2 linked regions of the Daphnia pulex genome follow. The main gene of each other region encodes a partner of the protein of the gene in region 2 in a complex. Links are inferred from orthologs where the notes say so. Each region holds a gene or a part of one and is shown on either strand. Other genes may lie near its edges.

What was found.
Region 1: CXXC-type zinc finger protein 1-like (region 2) and WD repeat-containing protein 82-like share a complex: the UniProt entries of both Drosophila melanogaster proteins name them as parts of the SET1 complex. The link is inferred for Daphnia pulex from reciprocal best matches to the Drosophila melanogaster genes Cfp1 and Wdr82.

What each region holds. Positions count from the first base shown.
Region 1 is NC_060027.1:1,884,615-1,895,762, forward strand, and holds WD repeat-containing protein 82-like, read right to left. Parts: upstream 6,407-11,148; 5' UTR 6,285-6,406; coding exon 6,106-6,284; intron 6,042-6,105; coding exon 5,944-6,041; intron 5,882-5,943; coding exon 5,815-5,881; intron 5,749-5,814; coding exon 5,532-5,748; intron 5,469-5,531; coding exon 5,313-5,468; intron 5,251-5,312; coding exon 5,131-5,250; intron 5,068-5,130; coding exon 4,975-5,067; intron 4,903-4,974; coding exon 4,870-4,902; 3' UTR 4,627-4,869; downstream 1-4,626. Other genes in the region: protein cueball-like, read right to left, coding at 1-23; cleavage stimulation factor subunit 1-like, read left to right, coding at 257-339, 421-548, 618-823, 881-1,108, 1,176-1,336, 1,394-1,544, 1,626-1,719, 1,785-1,916 and 1 more; isopentenyl-diphosphate Delta-isomerase 1-like, read right to left, coding at 2,225-2,679, 2,736-2,974, 4,136-4,308; histone-arginine methyltransferase CARMER-like, read left to right, coding at 6,743-6,878, 7,004-7,129, 7,190-7,392, 7,456-7,572, 7,635-7,809, 7,866-7,956, 8,023-8,195, 8,271-8,493 and 4 more; uncharacterized protein LOC124207812, read right to left, coding at 10,306-10,449, 10,517-10,651, 10,737-10,848, 10,925-11,148. UniProt on the Drosophila melanogaster protein: Component of the SET1 complex that specifically di- and trimethylates 'Lys-4' of histone H3.
Region 2 is NC_060019.1:1,598,284-1,609,839, forward strand, and holds CXXC-type zinc finger protein 1-like, read right to left. Parts: upstream 6,627-11,556; 5' UTR 6,461-6,626; coding exon 6,455-6,460; intron 6,340-6,454; coding exon 6,203-6,339; intron 6,125-6,202; coding exon 6,081-6,124; intron 6,020-6,080; coding exon 5,973-6,019; intron 5,904-5,972; coding exon 5,655-5,903; intron 5,590-5,654; coding exon 5,428-5,589; intron 5,369-5,427; coding exon 5,237-5,368; intron 5,171-5,236; coding exon 5,066-5,170; intron 5,005-5,065; coding exon 4,867-5,004; intron 4,800-4,866; coding exon 4,664-4,799; intron 4,599-4,663; coding exon 4,414-4,598; intron 4,353-4,413; coding exon 3,981-4,352; 3' UTR 3,903-3,980; downstream 1-3,902. Other genes in the region: uncharacterized protein LOC124190980, read left to right, coding at 1-202; uncharacterized protein LOC124190982, read left to right, coding at 1,340-2,684, 2,754-2,906, 2,970-3,442; uncharacterized protein LOC124190992, read left to right, coding at 6,690-6,791, 6,867-7,002, 7,069-7,326, 7,403-7,776; protein Star-like, read right to left, coding at 8,151-8,291, 8,358-8,574, 8,652-8,842, 8,911-9,080, 9,146-9,272. UniProt on the Drosophila melanogaster protein: Component of the SET1 complex that specifically di- and trimethylates 'Lys-4' of histone H3. Essential for Set1 association with chromatin and trimethylation of histone H3 at 'Lys-4' at transcription puffs.

The sequences.
Region 1 (11,148 bases), on a different chromosome or scaffold from region 2:
CCGGCCGAAATTCTTGAGATCATGCGCGATGCAACCTTATTCCCTGATCTACTTTGTACTGCCGTGTCTCGTGGCTGGTGCAACACTAAACACTCTGGCGGCTAACAATGCAACTTCCGGCAATGCGCCATCTCGTTTGTTATCTTGAAATCGTATCCTACTTGTCGGCATTTTCTGTGTTTACACTGGTTCGAGAAAGACATAATCTTGTTCTTGTATTTTTCTCGTTCGATTTTGAATATTTAATTCACACAAAATGAAAGACTCCGAAATTTTGGAAGCGATGGAATCTAAAAATGCGATAAAGTTTAAAGAACAAATTTATCGACTCATTATCAGGTAGTGTAACATAGTTAAGTTTGTACTCGAGTCATCGTACGCGTGGTTATATTGTCTTGACGTGTTTTTCCCTTTATGTAGCCAATTATTTTATGATGGTTTCCAATCACTGGCTGTCAGTCTATCATCAGCAGTTCAAGCACATCCAACATGCCCCCCATCCGATCGACTCAATCATATTGTCTCGCTAGGACTTCAGCATGAACACAGTAACTCGATATTCAATGATAGGAAATACAATTTTATAACCATGTTTAATCTTTGGTAATATTTTTCAGCATTGAAGAAACCATTAAATAAAGTGGAGATGCTTTTGGGTCCAGGACTGGATTTGGAATATGAAACTGATGTTCAAACCTCAGCTCCAGAACCAGCACTTTATGAAACTGCATATGTAACATCCCACAAAGCGCAATGTAGATCTGGGGCTTTCAGCCCTGATGGTCAGTTAGTTGCCACTGGAAGTGTTGATGCATCCATCAAGGTGACATGAGCAACACCTTTCTACAATTTCATTACCTAATAACAAGTTCAATTGTAGATCCTTGATGTTGATCGAATGTTGGCTAAATCATCCCCAGATGGAGAAATGGCAACTGATCAGCAAGGCCATCCTGTTATCAGAACTTTATATGACCACGTAGAAGAAGTGACCTGTCTGGAATTCCATCCTCGTGACGCCATTCTCGCATCTGGATCTCGCGATTGCACTGTTAAATTATTTGACTTCAGTAAAGCAGCGGCAAAGAAAGCTTTCAAAACACTATCAGTAACAAAAAAGCTTTTCTCGTGGCCCTTACAGTTCCTATTGAATTTTTATATGATTTGTTTAATAGGATTCAGATCAAATTCGTTGCATGGCTTTCCATCCTACCGGAGACTATTTGGTTGTTGGTACAAATCAGCCCGTTGTACGTCTGTATGACACCAACACCGCTCAATGCTACGTCTGTTCATTTCCGTCTCAGTATCACACCAACGCTATTACCTCACTTAAGTATTTATTAATTGGAAGAAAGCATTTGTTAAACAAATTATAATGTGTTTATCGTAGGTATTCTTTTGATGGCAAACTTTATGTATCCGGTTCTCGAGATGGTTCCATAAAACTCTGGGACGGAGTGTCTAACAAGTGTGTCGGTACCATTAGCCAAGCCCACGACGGTGCGGAAGTTGGATCTGTTACATTTTCTCGCAGTGGCAAAGTATTTACACTGTCGTTTCTTACCCATATTTATAACTGGTTTTAACTGTATGTCAATGTTTTTTTTTCTCTAATTAATCAGTATGTTCTTTCATCTGGCACGGATTCATCTGTTAAACTTTGGGAGCTCTCTTCACTACGCTGCATTATAGCCTACACTGGAGCTGGCACAATGGGTAAGATAATTATTACAAGTATGAGGCTTATATTCAATAATCAAACGTAATTATGGTTTATGAAGGCAAACAAGAGCACCGTGCTCAAGCTCTATTTAACCATTCGGAAGATTTTGTCATGTTCCCCGACGAGGCAACAACATCCTTGTGTTGTTGGGATGCTCGGACAGCTCAACGCAAACAGTTGTTGTCGCTTGGTAAGGAGGAAAAAATTCAATGGATAAAATAATTCATTTAATATCTTGTTGATATTTTTTTAGGTCACAATGGTGCGGTCCGTTACATTATCCATGCGCCTAGTACGGCGGCTTTTCTCACCTGCTCAGACGATTACCGCGCCAGGTTTTGGTACCGTCGCAACCCACATTAGATTAAGCTGTCAAATTGTACATGAATAATTGAATAAATGAGAAAAGCTACACTTTCATCTGAATAAATAATTTTGTTTCTTGTTTGGATTGAAACCGTATAGTTTCTACAAATGACGTCATTAACGTCAGTGCATTTAGAGGCTATGTATAACGGGGTCATACTCTATTCTTTCGAGATTATCTAATTGGTTCCACCATACTTTAAGATGGCTGTTGAGAATAAGTTTGAACCACGGTGTAAAGGGGATGTTATTCTTTTCGAGGTAGCCTTGAAATTCTTGAAAGCCGGATAGGGAGACGAAAACAACGCGGCTCACTTCGTTCGGGTTGGGTTTTACGGGAACGTCTTTCCTCAAAAACAGGATATAATCCACTTCATGTTCACCCCATTTGGCATCAGAAGGTGCACCATAAATGATTCTGGTGAGAATTTTAAAATCAGACAGCTCAATACTATCTGGACTGATGCCCAGTTCAATTTCAAGCCTTCTTCTAGCAGCTCTTCTGATCCCTACATGGTGAGCTTCTTCAGCTTCATCAGGTGTTGTATTATGTAACGGATGACTGCAACAGGAATTTGTATAATAACCTATTACAAATAACACATTTACTAGACTATAGTTACTTTGCTGTAGTCATACAAACCAGGAAAAGTAATTTTGTGATTGGATCTCTGTTGCATCAGTAGCTCATTTTTGGTATTAAAGAGAAAAACACTGAAGGCCCGATGAAGAGGTGGGAGTTGACCATCTGGACCAAGTAAATGAGCTGCTTCCTTTGATAAATTCCCAACTGCTCTATCATTAGTGTCGACGGAAATGCATTGCTCCTGAAGTAGGAGAGCTTGAGTAGGATCCATAGCTAGATGTTGGTTCATTCTGACACTAGAAAATGATGACAGTTCGTTTAACATAGACCAATTTGAAGCACGATTCAGAATAGAAGAAATCTTTCTGAGGACTTTCCCTGCCATTCGTTAAAATATCAACAGAAACGAATACCAAAGTGGCTAATAGAAAAAAAATACTGGGAAATGAGAACTAACAGAAAATCAAACTATCCCACGTGAGCGTAATGGTGAGACTGACTAACTGAGACGTCTGCTCTACAGTAATCAACTAATCAGAATCGGGATCACGGATTCACGATGTAGGATCTAGGATAATAGACAAGTTCGGGATGCTGAGTTGCACAACCGCAAAATTAGGATCGTGCGCCAACGAGTTTTTGTAACGTTGTGGGGATAGTAGAAAGCGGGTTTTTTATTATTTAAGCATAGAATTACTTATCTAATCTTAGAAATGTTCAGGATTATCGTTGTTTAGAACATTCTGCTTTTTATAGAGTAATTTGAAATGTATAATTCAGCTTAGTTTACCCATTAAAATTAAAGAAAGTCCAAGCCTGGGATGCTGTTTAGTCTTTTCTTGTGTTTTTTGACAGATCTGCTGACAAGTGACAAGCTCAAACACACAAGAAAAGACTAAACAGCATCCCAGGCTTGGACTTTCTTTAATTTTAATGGGTAAACTAAGCTGAATTATACATTTCAAATTACTCTATAAAAAGCAGAATGTTCTAAACAACGATAATCCTGAACATTTCTAAGATTAGATAAGTAATTCTATGCTTAAATAATAAAAAACCCGCTTTCTACTATCCCCACAACGTTACAAAAACTCGTTGGCGCACGATCCTAATTTTGCGGTTGTGCAACTCAGCATCCCGAACTTGTCTATAGTATCTCTTTTACAAAATAGTATCTCTTTTACAAAATAAACCCACTTTCCAAATTACTTTTTTTTAAAGCACAAGCTATATATTTATCTACTTTTTCGTAAACGAGTTTTCTGTATAATTTTATGAAACCTGAAAAATGACACCAGTTGGAAAGTAATAGCTACTGATCCAGTGATATGTGTCATTTAAAATTTTCGGAGAATTCCATTCGTTCTCTTTAATTAAGTCTTATGACTATAGTGGCAGAAACAATTATTTTTCAAATTAACTTTTATTAAATAACCGGAGAATTTTCAATTACTTACGAGTAGTGGCAAGGTTCGTTGTTAAATAAGTAAATTTCTCCATTTAGGCGCGACTTTATAAAGGCGCATTTCAAACAATCTAAAAAGTTTCTTTCATAACAAGAAAAATATAAAGGTTTTTTTCTAAAGATGAGAAACTTTGTCTTGATGACAGGGATAAATTTCCATACCATCTGGTGGCGTGGCAGGGTTAGCTAGGTCGTTCTTTTTTTAGAAAATTAGGACGTAACGAATGAAAGGTAAACTTTCAGAGAAATGTATGTGTGTATAAGGCACTAAGGCAGCCTAGTATTCGCTTGCTTTCTCAAATTCAAACCCCAGCAAGCGGGAACGTTGGTGACCCCATCTATAAATACATACAAAAACAACTTTGACTTACAGCACTCCTTATTTAATATCGGATATCAAGAAATATATGACACAATCGCATATGGTCTTTAATGATCCGCGTCAACCTTTGACATTTGTGCTACCTGCAGATAAAAATCGACCGGGTTCAAAAAAACATTTATTTATGCTTTATCATCAAGTTTTCATAAGAACACGGCCCAGTATCGCGATTGCCGATTGGCAAGTTCGACAGGAGCAAAAATTGAACTGCCACAGATACGAGCCAAACACAACTAAATTTCAGAATGATGGCTATGAAGAGCCCAAGGATGAGCTGGACAATGATAAACAATTAAGGATACGACTTTACATGTAACACTTTAATAAATTATGCTACTGTCGTTTTATGAATTGTCCTCCGAAGGAAGCCAAAAGGCCTAGAAAAAGCAAGCAGGAAAGGAGAAATATGCATTATTCAAAATGAAATGTTTTCAAAAATCTGTTCTTACCATGTTGTTGCATCCAGAGGCAAGCATCATATACTTGGGATTGAACTGAATACACTGCACTGGGCCGTTGTGATCAGCATTAAAAACGCATATCTGATCAGGAAATAGAAGTTCAACATTTATTGAATTTTAACATCTTTCATTTTGTTTTGCTACCTTATGACCCGATTCAGCATGCCAAACGTGAACTCGACCGTCCGTTGAACCGCTGAATACAAACTGGGAATCGGGACTGAATGACGCTTCGAGTGGAATTTTCTTATCGTTAAGATGACCCTGATAAAGTACAAAAATAAAATGAACACATGTTTTTTCTTAAATACTGAAAGGCTGCATACCGTCAATGTGTGGGTTGGGTTGCCGTGGAAAGCATCTACTAGTCGAATGATGCTACTGTTGGTCGAAAGAAGGATTGTTTTGCCATCTGGACTGAATTTTAATCCAGTCCATTCGCAAGTTTTCTCTGTATTAAGCCGGAACGAAGCAAAGGGACCCTTAAAATGAAACAAACCATGAATATAGACCAAAATAGAAAACTTTAACTAGACTATAAATACCTTGTCAAATGATCTAAGGTCATAGAGTTTCACACTCTCTGAATTAACTCCAGCAGCAAAAATGAGTCCTTCTGGATCAAATGCTGCAACAGGTCTACTTGTTAAATGCATTAGCCCCTGACAGTTTGGGGACCGAAGATCCCATAATCTCAAAGTTTTGTCCAATGAGCCAGACAGAAACATGTCATCCACAGGAGACATTGACAATGCTACTACCCTGATCAACATATAAAGATCGTTTTAGATTCCTGAAGTAATAATTATTTGGTATCACAGAACTTACTTTTTAGTGTGTCCGGGGAAATACCTAATGTATTTATTGTCATGCAATGATAAATATCTGATAGTGTCTATTGGGAAATAAAAGGTGTTTAAATGTTCATTGTGTTTAATTTGATTAAACAAGACCTACCATCAACTTTTGTTGATGCATGGATAGCCGTATTTTTGGCATGAGTGAAGTGTACCAGGTCAACACCATACTTTTTGCTGTTTACTGTCCGTTTTTGCCTGTGTGAAATTATAGAAAAATTGAAAACTATTCATTGGTATTGATAAAATTCTAATCACTTACGTTCCCTTTTCGCAGTCGTATATTACAATTTGATCATCTTCACTACTCGAAATAAGCGTATCTCCCGTAGGAGAAAAGTCTATGTTGTTGATCCGATCTGTGTTCTCCTTAAAAACTTTTGCAACCCTGAAACTTCGAACAACTGGCTCAGTCAGTTTCATCTCGCCTTTAATGTGCATTCAGTTCAATGTGATAGACAGCAAATTATTCGCAAAGGAAAAGGAAAATAAGAAACGAATCACTTTTTTGGCGGTGTCTTGTGGGTTCCTAGTTATTGTTTACAGTGGCGCTAATGCACTCAAGTGTGCGAAATGCATGTTGCAAGTTGCGCCGTTGCGCAATCTTGTTGAAGAAGTCTCGCTACGATAATGGATTATTGTAGTTAAAAAATCCATCTTAATTTATGCTAAATTTAAATCTTGTCTTAAAGTGATTAAACAAGAAAGTGGCAACTGGCAACGGAGAAAGAACGAGTCGACCGCGTGCGAAAATCTCTCTGATTTTTCCAGCTCTAGTGCAACTTGAGTAACGGTTTCATTACTGTCGTCTGTACTCGAGGGACGCGCAAAGAACTCGGCACTCGCTTTTTTTTTGCAGGCATTGCAGCTCATTTTAGTACCTATTCAATAGTGTAACAATGGCGGCTGACGCGTTCAGCGGTGTGATTGTCTCGTCCCTGTCAGACTCTGGTCAATCTAAGCCGAAATATGAAGAACCTGTCGTTTTGAAATCTTGCTACGATCCGAATGGAATCAGCATCACCGTTCAATCAGGTAGTGTTAACTATTGTCAATGATGACAGTTCGAAGCCAGACGACGGACATGTGTTCTGTTGTGGGAAATGTCAATTAGTAGAGCTCAAATTGCCATATATCTTAATACATTTTTTATGACACAGAAACCGGACGAGACCTATTTGAGTTTCCAGTCACAAGAACTTCAGAATACTCAAAAGTAGGCAAGAAAGGCTACCTGTTTGAATTTGACTATGAAACTATATTATTCACATTCAAAAATGACACAGGTCAGTTGCTTTCCTTTGTACTCCATTTCTGTTCGAATGTTAAAAGTTGTCTTTACATAGATGCATCCAATTTTCACAAGTCATTGGGCAAGTTACAGCTGGGCAAAGATTTGTCAGTATTCACAGAAAGAACAGAAGACTCTTCAGCCTCACAGTACTTTCAATTTTATGGATATTTATCTCAGCAGCAGAACATGATGCAGGACTACATACGAACAAGCACATACCAAAGAGCCATTCTATCCAACTTGGATGATTTTAGAGTAAGTCTCTTTGTTCATAACTGTTGAACTGTTTGAAACCTTATTAAGACAATTTATCTTTAGGATAAAGTAGTTCTAGATGTTGGAGCAGGATCTGGCATTCTGTCATTTTTTGCTGTCCAATCGGGAGCTTCTAAAGTGTATGCTGTTGAAGCATCTACCATGGCTCAACATGCTGAGGTAGTTCACAATTCATGCTCTCTAATTAACTGTCTAATAAATATTGCATTTTGTTTATGTAGTCTTTGGCAAAGTTCAATTCCCTTGAACAGATCCAAGTAGTGGCTGGCAAGATAGAAGAGATTGAATTACCAGAAAAAGTTGATATTATCATTTCTGAACCCATGGGCTACATGCTTTTCAATGAAAGAATGTTGGAAACGTTTCTTCACGCTAAGAAGTGGCTCAAGCCGGGCGGTAAGATTAGTCATGATTGCTTTCACTTGAATTTCAGTTACCAATTTTGTATCTAGGTAAAATGTTCCCCTCAAGAGGTGATCTGCACATAGCTCCCTTTAATGATGAAACCCTGTACATGGAACAATTTAATAAAGCCAACTTTTGGTAAAATCAATATTTTTCATGCGTTGCGAAATAATGTATATATAATCGGATAATTATCATTTCCAGGTACCAGCAAAGCTTCCACGGAGTCGACTTGAGTTGCTTGAGAGCGGCCGCTATGAAGGAATACTTTCGCCAACCCATTGTTGATACATTTGATATTCGAATTTGCACCGCCAAGTCCGTCAGGCACGTTGTAGACTTTCACACTGCGTCAGAATCCGATCTTCACCGAATGGGTATGTATTACTTTCATTGGTTTGTTGTGGTAGGTGTCAAGTTGCTGAAAGTATTTTTTTCTTCTTCGTTCTCAGATATCCCGCTCGAATTTCATGCCCTACAGTCTGGCTTAGTTCACGGGTTAGCCTTCTGGTTCGACGTGGCGTTCTTTGGCTCATCGACTTCTGTCTGGTTATCCACTGCACCCACTGAACCGTTGACTCACTGGTACCAAGTGCGCTGTTTGCTTGAAACTCCAATTTTCGTCAAGCAGGGTCAGCTGCTCACCGGAACCGTCCTACTTTTGGCCAACAAAAGGTTAGTCTCGAAACCCTCACTGTTATTTGCAAACTTGAAACTCAATTAACCCTTTCCTTTAGGCAAAGTTACGATGTTACGATTGATTTGCGAGTGGAGGGATCTGGTCTGACCAGCAGCAACACCCTCGACCTGAAAAATCCATACTTCCGTTATGCTGGACAACCGGCGCAGCCACCTCCGGGTCACAGCAGTGCATCACCTAGTGAAACCTACTGGGCCCAGCTCGACGTTCAAGGTGCGCGGCAAGGTAAGTGTGACCCGTTTTCTCGTACGTCGACACTTCAATGATGAAACACCACTTGCATCTGCTAAACGGTTTTTTATCATGTTCTCAGCTGTCACCATGGTCAACGGCATGACGGTCAACGGCCTCGGAGAAGTGTCTGCGATGAGCGACGTGACGGGCGTCAACAACTCTAATTCGTCGCTGCTGGGTCTGGGTAAGCAGCTCACCCACTACTTGATTTTAGGTACGCAACTTTTGCCACGTCTTTCCCGCTATGGATCATACCATCTCCTACAGCCCCTCCTTTTTTCTTTTCTTTGCTTTCCTCCAATTAAGGCCAGTTAAAAGTTGTTAAAAAGAGAAAGAGAGTTGGTAACTATTTGGTTTGACGTGTGGTTGCGAACGTGTCAAGTAACTTCCTCCTTTTTCTTTCTGTCTCCTTTCACTCGGATCTTCCCACTCGTCAGAAAATCAAGTCGGTGCGCGGGGAGGCAGACCTCAGGTAGCCAACACTTACCCAACGTCGCAAATTGGAGGCAACTCGTACACAACGGTACGTCATGCTAAATTTACGACCTGGACGTCCTGGACACAAAGGCAATAACTTTTATTGCTTTGAAACCCATTTTAGACGCAGCAGCTCGTATTGGGGGCCACATCCCATTACCCGTTGAGCAATAGTTTAATGATCGGCGATTACGTCACGCCCGGCAGCGTGATCTTGCCCTCCGCCGCTCATTTGGCCAACATGGATACCTTCCAGCCCTAGATAAACCGCGTTAAGAAGAATAATAACGAGTAAAACAGAAAAAAGAGAAAAAGAAACGTGACAACTCCGTTACCTGGGACAGCTCCGCTGGATGTGTCCGCAAGTACTTATCATCGTCTTTTTTTTCGCATTCCGCGTCGTTTCAAAACATTTTTCACGCGAAACCCACAAAAAACACATTCGCATCATGTTTTTTTTTTTGGTCTTATTTTGATTGGTAACTGTCGTCCCTACATTTCTCTTAATTCCTGTAGTATTTTGTTTTCCAATCATCCTTCGGTCCTTTGTTCCACACTATTTTCTCCGAGAAAGGAGAATGGGTCTTTTTCTTGGTTTTTTATTTTATACCGCCGACTTGCGACTGTCTCCACCCGTTTGTTTGCTTTCACATTCAACAAAACCACATTATCCTCTTCAGCCACTCACAAGGAAATCTGTTCATTTTCTTTGACGAATAAAATCAAAGGGTTGTGCAGCCTTTTCGAAAGCAATTTTATTTGTTTCCTCTCAATAGAAACGAAGCGGTATGTATGATACACTCTGCAGGAAATGAAGGTAGAAAATTCAGATTGTAATCGGCATTAAAAAAAAAAAATTAATTTTTTCTTTGTGGAGGAAACCGCCCACCTCTACCGAGTACGATGTTCATATTTCGATTGTATAATAATCCATCTTTAAACAAAGGGAAATTGGGCGCGGACGGGTAAAGACCAGCACGAATCGATTCTTAGCTTTTCTTAAATATATACTTAAAAATTGAAATGGGATTTTGAAAACAAAAAAACCAACAGGGCGAAACTATTTTAGAAATGTTTTAAGGCTTCCATTTACGGACACTGTCGGGGCCGTTAGTTCGCCATTCGTCTCGGCTGATTTTCGATTGCTCGTAGGTCGACGAGTTACTCAAAACACAAGCGCCCAGGTAGGCGGCGTGGTAGCGATACGGCGAAGCGTGGACCTGTGTCAATGAGTGGTTTACAATTTAAGTACAGTCCAACATACAAATGGAATGGGCCCAATATTACTTTTGGAATGAGATGCGATGGAGTGATTCGATCTATTTCAGCCTCGAGCCGTTCGGGAAAGTTGGGCAGTAGGGTGACGCCGCCGCTTAGAAAGATACTGCGCACCATTTCTTTACGAATGTCCACACTGCAATCCTGTTTCGGTTGAACAATTTAGAAATAGTTGGAAATCGTCTCTTTTAACTACGTTTTGTTTCATTTTTTTTATATTTTTATTTACTTGGATGGCCTTGTGAACGAGTTTTTGAATTCCGGGATTGTCCAAACCCCAAGCCTCGGGATGGAAAAGACCTTCGGTTACTTGGAAACGACCCAGTTCCAGTGAAATTTCACTAATCATTAACAAGAAAAGGAAGACATTGTTATCCAGAAATAGTTTACATAGCAAGAAAACGTTTCTAAACTTACTCCCAGGGAAGTTGGCCGTTGCTGAAAGGTTTCAAATCGACGGAATCCCTGACAGAGGATGGATCACTCTTTGCTTTATTCAGTTCGGCGTTGTAGGAATTAGTGTCCGGCCCGGCCACGTAAGCCAGTTTCTCCAGGACGTGACGGATCAGGTAAGATTCCACGTCGGTGAAAAGGGAGCAGCGTTGCTGGACGAGGAAATGGCGCAAGTGATCGACCAATTG
Region 2 (11,556 bases):
CATAATCGAACTTTTGATTGAGAACGGAATCGAAGTTCATTGCAACCCCTCCAACGACGGCAACGCCCTCCAAATCTTGTGTAAAGTTTACAAGAAAGAAAACTTGATGGACATCGTTGGAATTTTGAGTAAAGGAGATAAAAGAAAAGAAAATCCACATAGCGGTTCTTCGTCTAGAGCAACGAAAAGGAAACACAAGTAGCTTGATTGAAATAAATGAAACTTTTATTGTTTACTTAGTGAACCGCTGTAGAATAAACTATATGAGAGAAATTGCGTTGCAAATAAACGTATTAGGTTTTGGGGTCTATTATTTTTCTTAATGACTCATTTGGATTGAAAAGTTGCCTTTCGTACGCACTACATTCGCTGTTAATTTCGGAAATCAGATAATCAAAACGCTTTTATCCTTTCACTATTTAAATTCTTTAGATAAAAAGTTAAAATCTAATATCAATTGACGAGTTTCATTACTAAACAAGTTTTTCAAGTAGATTCCTATCTGGATGAATTTAAAATAGTCACAAGAATGGATACTCGAGTAGATAGAAATGTAATCAATCATTTAATTGACTGAGAGAAGAATGGATAAAACTGTTATGCAAATAATTCACTAATCTTATTCCTTTTTCCAATAAACTAAAGGAAGGAAAGTTACATGACGATCGAAAGGGCAGTGAATGCAAGCACTTACATTAAGAAGACCTGCGATGACGTTGTTGATGTTCCCCTCGTAATAGGAAATCTAGGAAATAGTTGCATGTCTTATGCCACCAGATAGATGTCCTTTCTTCTATAATGAAACTGAAACATTGATTAATACTGGAATTTAAATTAAACAAGTTAAATATTTTTACCTGGATGGGAAGATGTATAACATCGTGGCGGGACTGGTGGCTACGTGAATGTAACAACTCTGTTCTCATATATATGCTTCATCAGTCTCCCCCGCAGCAGTGTTGTTATTGATTGCTTCCCAGAATACTACTCACTAAATTGAAAGTGAGAGTATCTAAACATTTGACACAAAAATGACATAAATGACATATTTAACTTGCAATATTTAAAAAAAAAATTATGATTCACACCAAATAAAATATTTAGAAAGGAGAAACTCCCATTAAATATTTTGAATGATGAGCGGAAACCTAGCGGCGTGACCCTATTCAGTATAGACACAGTCAACAACAGGGAACAGTTGAAACTTGACCGTTCTCAACGACAGTAACTGATTATTTCGTGCTCCATCGTGCTCCATTTAACATCCCATTCGACTTTTAATTGCTTTTTTAAATCTTGGAAATTTCAAAATAAAGAAGAATTCGCACACACGACTAAAATGTGGACTACGTTATTCGTCTCGATTTTGGTACTGGTGAATGTCTGCCCATCCAACACTTCCAAAATTTCGCCATGGACTAAACTGCAAATATCTCCTACTGAACTTTGCTCTATGCCCTACGGCAGTTTTCGAGTGAACATTTACCAACACGCAAGCAATAACAAAAGTGACCAAAGCAACAACAAGTTTTTCTACGCTCCCATCGCCCTGCTAGATCACCAAAGTGCCGTCAGTCAATTCAACAACATCACGATGCTCCAGGAGATTCGATTCCGCATTGAAATGTGGAACGATATCGTCGAAAGCGAAGTGGTGAAGTATTTAAGCAAAGTAGTCGATCACGAAGTTCAACCTCATCAAGTGCAAGTGATACCCTTCGAGAAGGTGGTACTCGTCAGTACAATACCACCAAAAGCTGATTCTTTAACCACCAATTGGCTGCCTTTTGAATTCCACAAATCACTGCCATTTTCTCTTTCGTGTTTCGAACGAAATGTTTGCGACCAACTCGCTCAAGACATGCGCTCCAAACCCGAACAGTTCAACTATTTAAAATTTCTCTTCAGTTGGACGTGTCAGACTACGGAAACTAAGGACACAGTCATCCGCATGGAAAATGTCATTTCGAGTCAAATGGTTAACAAACTACAGCGAAGATTCAGTCAAGACACAAAAGAAGTTTTCCTGACTGCCAATGACGAGAAGCAACTTTTAGCAGAAACGACAACTAATGTCTTGATGGATACTTTCAAGGACTCGGATATCGTTTCACCTCACTCGGGACGGGTTGTTTATAACTCGTTGAACAACTTGCTCTTCTCTTCCACGGCCACCATTAAGGATCAAAGCGATTGGGACTTGGTCTTTTGGACAGACGACTTTTACCGACCGGATAAAACTTCGGACACGTTGAACAAAATTTTTGAAAAAATGAACACGGAAGGACAAGAAAAGTTGCGGAGGTTGTATCACCATGCAGATAAAATAGACGGCGAAGTGGCAAAGTTCATCGAGTTATTTGCAGATGAAGCAAACTCTACTAACGAATTATACCGTCACGGCTCAACGACGAAGGAGGGTATCGAAACATTTTATCGAGAAAGTAAAGACCACGTCATCTGGGCTAGTGATAAATTCATTCCCAAACTGCTGTCGCTCAATAGATTTAAACTGGCACAGTTAAGAGACCAACTATCGCTGCAATATCGTAAAGTGTCTATCCGTTACACCGCCGCCGCCCTGTCGATCCCTATGAATTTCGCCCAAAATGCTGACATGACAGTCACAGACGAATGGCACAGTCTCAAGCTCAGCGTAGCCAATCTGACAAAAGGATTATTAGGTAAGAAATGGTAATGCTAAATGCATCTCAATAAAAACCTATCAAGTATGTTGCGATCCAAATGAACAGGAAAAACAAGCGCAGAGAACTTCGACAAAATACCTAGATCTTGCGACGATCTTCGGAGGATCGGACACACCCATAGCGGATTGTATTCGATTATGGGAGCTCAAACGGTTAAAAGCGTCTATTGCAACTTTACAAAGCTTTCCAGTGATGCGGGTATAAAGCTCAATTATATTATAATCAAATTACGGATCTATTTATTTGAGTCAACCTTTGCAGATTTCCAGAAATTGATTGGATTTTTAGACGTCAAGTCATCGCCAACTTATTTCTTCGTGCAGAGAAAAACCAAGTTTGGGAAAAAAAATATTCCTATTCCTTTCGAAGTGGAAAGACTAAACACAGGAGGAGCCATGAACTTGGAGACAGGAAAATTTACAGCCCCTGTATCAGGAACTTATTTCTTTTCCTTTTCAGGAGTGATGGTATTTGGTTCAACATATCAGTTTATCAATATGGGATTATATAAAAATGATGAATTAATGGGAGCTGGTCATTCTGATGAGAGTAGTCAATCTGAGATGCTATCCTTACAATCGACACTCAATTTGAAAAGAGGGGATGAAATATGGTTGCAGATTTTTAGCATGTCAACATCAGGAGGGGGCATACGTGGAGATTATTTCAATAACTTTAATGGCTTTCTCTTACAGGAAAATATTGTTGAAACATATGGGAATCTTACATTATAATTAAGTTAAACTGCAAGTGGAAGCAAAATGGAGGCTGAATTTACTAATGCAGAAAACAATTTCTATAAATTAAATAATCTAAGTGGACAACCGGCTCAGACAAAATCTCTAAGAATATGCTGTAAGAAAATAGATCGTGCTGCTTACCAAATATGTTGGCTAAAGTTAGCTTAAAAAAAAGTCACAAGTTTAAAATAAAAATATGTCATTGTGCATCCATTTCAGATTCACTTTTCAGGTGTCAAACCACACAAAAGACTAAAATTCCAAAATAAGTAAATAACCCTTTCCCTCTTCCTGCTGCTGCGAATAACATGCGTGGTTGCCACATGAAAATGCCATTGGCAATGACGGGAAAAGCTTAAAAAAGTGGCATGAAATTTGTTTTAAATAAATGTCATGAGTAGGCCTATAAACCGAGAATTAAACTACAAATTAGAAATTGAATATCAAATCGCAGTAACAATCAATCAATGAAATTTATTATCACCACAATAGGTTCGGAGATATTCCTCACATGATGTAAACAAAATCAACCTTAAGTATCGTCTTCCATGGCAAGTTTTTTATTGGCTGCTGCATAGGCCTCAGAGCTGTCCGAGGTAACACCAGTTTGACCAGCGTACTGTTGCTGCTGTTGTTGCATTAATTCATGATTGAAAGTTGAATGAAGTATGAGCGGTAAAAGTCCAGCGCGCTGCGCCATGGCAGTTCGGATTTGACGTTCTTTTTCGAATAGTTCATCGAGTTTCAGCCACTGGCGAACTCTTTCCATGTCAATCTCGGCTCTTCTTAGCTTCTCCCAATTGTTGTGCTTGACGCACTTTTTCTTCTGAATCAAGCAGAATTCGCCAGTTTCATCAAAGACGTTCCGTACCGACGGATACCCGCATACATCAGTGTCATTGACCTATACAAAAGGAGACGTCACACTTCATAGATTCGAACTTAATATATCTTGAGAAAATTACCTTGGGATCTTTACAATGCTCCGGACATAGAACACGAAGTCGTTTGCAGTAAGTTCGGTTATTTGGATTGTAAAAGTCGCAAAACATGTTGTTGCCTTCTATCTTCGTTTGGAAGATTGAACCAAACGAAGTTTGACTTTCGTATTTGTTGAAACATCGCTCCATGTGCCGAATGGCATTGGTTTCTAAACAAGTATATTAAAAAGGAATATGATTTTTGACCCTAACTATCCAATGATCATTTACTTACGTGTAACACCGATGCCGCAAGTAACGCACTGAACAGTGGCCGATTCCGTTTCGCCGTCTCCACCTTCATCTGCTTCATCGTCAGAGTTTATGTCTACTGTAAATTTTTTCGCCTTTGCTGTTATTACGTCCAATTCCTGCATTGGTATCAACATAATCTTTTAGATACATGCCAGTAAACTTAACACTATGATAAAACTCAACCTTTTGTTTGAGATCTAGTTCTTCCAAAGCTTCACGGGCATCGGTTTGCTGTTTACGAATTTGTTCCAACTCTTTCTTGTTCTTCTCTTCGGCTATACAAGGTGTTAAGCCCCACTCTTGAATGCGTTGAGGCAAAATCTGTACGAAAACGACATTTTCCCACGGTTTTTTTATTTACAAAACTATTAAAATAACTAACCTGATAAATACGAGTAGTAGCCAATTTGAGACCACATTGGTCACTGCAATATTTACTTCCAGGTCGGGAAGCGTTGATGCATTGGGGACCATAACAGTGGATAACCTGAAATTGTGTTGATAATAACAATAAATTACCACATAAAACCATTTAAGAAATAGTATGCTTTACTTTTTGTTTATTCCGAGCCGGAGATTTTTCAACTTCGCTTTCACCTCCAGAATCTGTCGACGACGTAATTCTCTTTCTGCGGCGATGTTCCCCAGTAGTCGCAGAGGAACGGTATCTCCCCTTTGTTTTTTCCTGGAACAGAAATTTTAGTTAAAGGGAATGAAATTGGAAGTGAAGTAAAAATAAAACACCTTTTTATTGGTTGAATGTCGAGATGGTTTAGGGGCTGGAACAGGAGGTTTCTCTTTCCGAAGACTTGGCTCCCAGACGTCATCGTCGGAATAGTTTGCTTCTTTCAGGACAGGTTTTACCACAGGCTCATCTTCTTCAGATTTTATCTCGACTTTCTTCTGCTGTAAATATTTAATGCATTTTTAGTAATTATTTTATGCGTAAAATTTTTAAAATTGAGTAATACCTTTGGGGCGAAGGTAAGACAGACTCGATATTTACATTGTTGACGAGATTTCCCTTTACAGGCGTCACACTTGTTACAGTTATCTACTCGATAACAAGCGATACATTCACCACAATGGGGATATTGTGGAGTAGATTCCTTCTTTTCCTGTCGTTTCTTTGCTTTTTTTGCTGCCTCTTCCTTTCCTGCCTGTTCTAATTTCTTTTGTTTGTACTTGATTGTCAAACTGGGATCCCTTTGTCTACATTTCTAAAAATTAATCATACATTTTTTAAAAATAAAATAGCAAAATACAGAAATAAAAAATCAATGCATTACTGGACAGAAGAACTTTTTTATGAAGCGGGACTCTTCCTCAGTAATATCTAGTCAAATTTAAGCATGTTCCAATTACATTATTTAGTTATGTTCAGATATACAATATACCTATGCAGTCTCCATGATACCAATCTTCACAATAGTCACAACCACTGAATAAATAGAAAATTTGATGCATAAAATATATTTTTAAAATGAAAAAAACTAGATTTAGTTTCTAGAAGACTTACATCATAAATCTACTAGCATCAGAACTACGGCAGATGCAGTAAAGTTGTTCTTCAAGACCATGTTCTTCTTGCCTCATCATAAGGTCAATTTTAGATTGCCTCTCCGGCAATGTATGGTGTTTTGATATGTAATCTTTCTATAGATTTAAAAAAAAAAGAATGACTTTTAACTCCTATTCAAAAGTTGTTCATAACAGAATGAAGGTAACAGTACTGAACACGTAGGCCTAAATATACACGTAGTTCACTTACCGACATTTTTAGGAGGTAGGTTAGATAATCAAACAACTTGAAACGGTGAATTACTAAAAGTTCTTGATACTAGCGAAATTTGATTCAATAACGTGCGGATTCAACTCTTTTTAAAAAGTGTCTTTCTTTCCTTGTTGTCGAATTGTGATCTGTCAACAAGCTGAGCTGAGTGCTAACTGGCGAGGAGATAGGGAACTGCTATTAAAATCGTACTAGCTTATTTGATCGCTGGTAGATGGCAGTCGATGGTTCAATTGTCAACAATTCACAATATTTGCATTTGATAACAACACCACGTTATTGTACTCAGAATCCTGTTTTTCACTTACGTATAAAGGTAAAAAGCAGTTAGCAAATAGCTTAGTTTAATTTACCTTTTAATTATTTATTGACCATTTACTGTCGTGAAAAGATGGCCGAGTTTTATTGTGCTCATTGTAAGGTCCAAATGAACTCAAAATCTCAGTGGGATGCCCATGTAATTGGTGGGAAGCATATGAGAGCTGTTACAATGAATCAGCCCCTAGCAGTTGACATGTCAGCAGCAAGTATAAATTCAATTTATATTGTGTGTTTTGATACCAGCATTCAATATGTTCATTTTTTTTACATAGTTGTCTTGCCCAATGGAAATTTCAAATGTAAAAGCTGTGATGATTTCGAGTGTTGTGGTCACATACCTTTTGAGCAGCATTTGATAGGAAAAAAGCATTTGAAAAACGTCCAGCGTGGCAAAGAGTCCACTCAGTTTAACACAGCTGTCAAGTCACCTCTTTATGGTCAACGGCAACCAACTGCTCCTCTAGTTCACTCTCCACCAGCAATGAATAGTGGTTCCTTACCAATTGCATTAGCCGATGTGTCTTCAGCATGTAAAGTCTTATTCACTCCACACAAGTCACCAGAAAAAATTGCATTAGCTGTAACATTTATTTGCTTTATTTTCAGTGTTGCAACCTGATGGATCATACAAATGTAAAGTTTGTGTTGACTTTACTTGCTCAGGCCCTATACCCATGCAGGATCATTTGAATGGAAAAAGTCATTTAAAGAATTTGAAAACGTTTCCTGGCAGAAAATTAGCGTTTGAGCAAATGACCATTGCTGCTCCTACGTCTGAAGTCAATTACCGTCAGAGTTCGTTAACGGTCGACGAACGTATTGAAAAAGCGTGGAACCACCAGACAATTTGCGGCTACAACTACGATGAGTTATTTTCTAATCTGTCTATCGAGAAGAAGATTGAAGAGTTAAATCCACATTTTGCGTTTATCGGTAAAGATGATCCTATGCCCAATTTTGTCAAGTACTTGAGTATGTGATTAGTGTAATTTCAAAAAAAAAGCACAATCGATCCATTTTATATGCTATCTCTTTGTTGTTTACGCTTCGGCTGTTTCGCTGGACTAAGAGCACGTTGAAAGAAAACCAAGGAAAGCAATTTTTGTATATGAACTATATTGGCCAACTTTGAAGAATGATAATAAAACTGTTTGGAAAAAACATTAGTCTTCTAATTGGGCAGGAGTGAGGAAACAACAGAGTTTTTGTTCCATCCAGGAAGCTTTCGGCTTTTCTTTGGAAAAATGCCAGAGCTAATTTGTTGCTTGCTCAGTAAAAATGTGGTAACACTCTAGCAGCTTGGGGGATGCATATCCGATCGCTCGTGAAACAGCCAATAACGCTAGATTCAAGGCTAAATTTTGTTAAAAATGAAATCGTTTGCGAGCCAATTTGGGTCGGTGACTTCTTTGACCACTTCATAGCCCTGCAACGTCATATATTCCCTAATCTGGTCTTTACCCTCTTTGTCATGGATAAACTCGACTGACAGGGTCTACAAACGTAATAAACAATTGTTAATAAATATCTACATGAAATATATTTTGCTTTTAAAGTATACCTGAATTCTGACATTATTCCACGGTATGGTTTTCAGAACAGCTAATTCGTCGCCTTCAATATCTAAACTGAAGTAGTCTACTTCAGTTCGGTTGAGGGCTGCAAGGATAGAATATATTGGGAAGCATTGGACTTGGACGCTTCCCACTCGATTCTGATCGTCGAGTTGGTTTTGAGAGATTCTTCCTTGATTGAAAGCCTGTTTGAATACTACAGTTCTGCATACAACAAACAAATATGAAAGGCTCATTATTAAAGTGCTTGTCAAGCTTGTAAAAAGTGTGTCAATATTTACTTAGGACTGGAGGAGGTACTAAGGCAAGCAGGAACAGTCCATGCTCGACGATTTTTCTCTTGAACTTTCAAGAAGTTTTTGGGGTCGGCTTCAATCAAAACGCCTTCCCAACCTAAATTTCGTTCCATAAACAAAGTGTTTGAACGAAGTTCGCCATCCAAGGCACCACATTCCACAAAAAAGCCATTCTCCTGTTGGGCAACAGTACAATAAACATTGAAACATGCGAACAACCTTTCGTGATAAACTGTTATTGTACCTTATTTTTCAAGATTTCAAGTATACTTTGAGCTTGCCCCATGGAAGGATTTGGAACCTCTGGTGCTTCAAGACTAAGCTTATTTTTAGATGGAGGGTGTAAGTATTGGCCACGCAGTAAACTTAATATGCAGGGGTCATCTTGATCCATAACTGCTGAATTCACATTTTCTGAAAATTTGAAACGAGAATTAGTTTGAATTCATCTTTAATAAATGAGTGACACATTACAACACCTGTATTGCATACCCCACTATAGTGAGGTTTTCCTTGGGAATGACTGGACTGGTAGTATATCAATATCACACAGGCAAAACACACCCCCATGAACAACACAACAGGTCGCTTGAGAACTGGACTCATTTCGAGAGAAAAGGTTTGACACCTGGGCAGTAACGGATTAATAAACTTTTGCAGAGTTGTTATTGCACTTGAACGTGATGACAAGCTAGAAATGTCAGTTAGCTAAAATGCATTCCTTATTTAAAGTTAAAAGTGATAATTAAACACCACAGCAGAGTCTTCATTGGATTAATGCATAGCACGAAATACACAGGTGCGGAGAGGGTAACACTTATTAGAGAGAAAGTTTCTCTTACGACGAGCGAAAATTGGCAGACGGATCTCCATCAACAGCCCAGCTGCTGAAAAAAAAATTTCTTTACGTAGACTTCACTTTTATCGCCAACTGAACATTACACTCTCGATAGTTGAATCACAAAACGATTGATACCTTGGAGCAGAAATATGATACACACACACACATAAAGACAGGTACTACTGAACGAGATACGTGTGTGTGTGTGCCTATGTACAGAGAACGTATTGGACTCGACTCATAACGTACAGTGGCACACAAGAACTGTTTTACAGGTGAGCTTTCTAAAGAACAAACATTAATACAGAATATGAGATACAAAGCAACAAACTGAGCCCGAGTGAAAGTGACAATTGCTTCGCGGTAGAGTACGTCGACTACGGCCCGCAAAACCAGTGTGTACTAAGTTGTTCCTCAACAACCAAAAGAGGGGCGGACTTGCAGCACAGAAGGCGTCGCCAAGTTTTGAAATAAAAATTCTGGAAAAATTGTTGGAGAACCAATTATTGCCAAATAAACAAATAAAAAACTTAAATGCTAGTTGTTTTAACAATATATAAAAGAAAACTTTGGTCACGCTAATCGAAAACTCTATAAAAACAAAATTGCAGTTAATTGCAACTTAGTAGCAATAAAATACGGATGGAGTATTTTATATCTTTATTCACATTGTTTTTGATAATAATGTGTTTGCGAAATAATCGTATCTTTTAGGATTAACTAGAGAAAACATTTACACGTGTGAAATTGGGTTTTATTTACGCTCGTCGATTTCGATCAAAATTCATCAAACTGGTTCTCCATTGTTTACGTTCGATCTTCCGATTCGACCAAATAAAACTAAAAAAGCGATTTCCATAGTCTCCTTAATTTTTAAGAGGAGGAGATTCAGATCATTACCGCAACCATTTCTTAAAATAACTTCTTTCTCTTATTAAATGGGGTGATTGAACGATCATGGTTGGCTACATTAAGGAAAAATAAAATTCGAATCACTAGACTCAAAAGTGGTTCTGGTGTTGTATTGCAGCACGATTGTTGAAACAACGCCACAGGGCTCCTTTTTTTCAAAAATATAAAGCGATCATAATGTGATCGTCATTTTTTTTTTATTCAACAGAAATTGTACCTATTTCGAAATTTCTACTGTCATTCCTTGTAAAGCAAAACGAAATTTTTTTGCTCTCTCGGAAAAGAACGAGAACGTGACCGACCTGATTTGAATGCACAATGTCATTAAAATCAAAAGTGTGTATATCAATCTTTCATTTTTTATTTTTTTTTATTCTTTGAAAAGTGACTTGAGGCTATCAACATAATAAATATTCGTTGATGAAGCACCGGCCGGTGCGCGGTCATTGCTTGTCGAGTTAGACAGTTTGTTCAACCCGAGAATTTTTCACCGGGGGGTTACAGCAACCAACGTGATGGTAAAAAGAAAAAAAGGCGTTTACGCTACACTGATTATTACCACATGGCTGTGTTGAGCCTGTGTGGTGATCAACATTCTTCGACGTATGTGGATAGAAGCGGAGGAGAGAGTAAGCCGGTGTTACAACTTTTTTAAAATTTTGGCAAGAACTCGTCGTTCGACTTGTTGGGAAAGTGAATCAGCATAATGCCTCCTCTCTCTGTTGAAACAAAAGTGCCGATCTCGTAAAATTTCTCCCTAGCGACCGAAGATCTGTCAGGGATGTATAGCGCTCTTTTCTTCTTCGACTACACGCCTGTTTGAAGGACAGACAAAATAATAACAACTGCGCCTTTTTTTTACTTTTCGGCTTTCTAAATACCGCCGTTGCTATGTCCGTTTTTGAAATATGTGGGCCGATTATTTATGGTGAACGAATTCTAAATTAAAATGTCTGTTTGGTTATCACGACCTCATTCAGATCGCCAAAAACATTTTCTCCGTTTGGGCGAAAGATTATCACGATTTCGATGGAAAGGTCATGAATACAGGGCGGTGCCCTGTTGGCAATTTCTCGTCGGAGAAAACGCGTTGGTGGCCGTGAGCATTTCACGATGCTGCTGATGTCATCTTCCCCG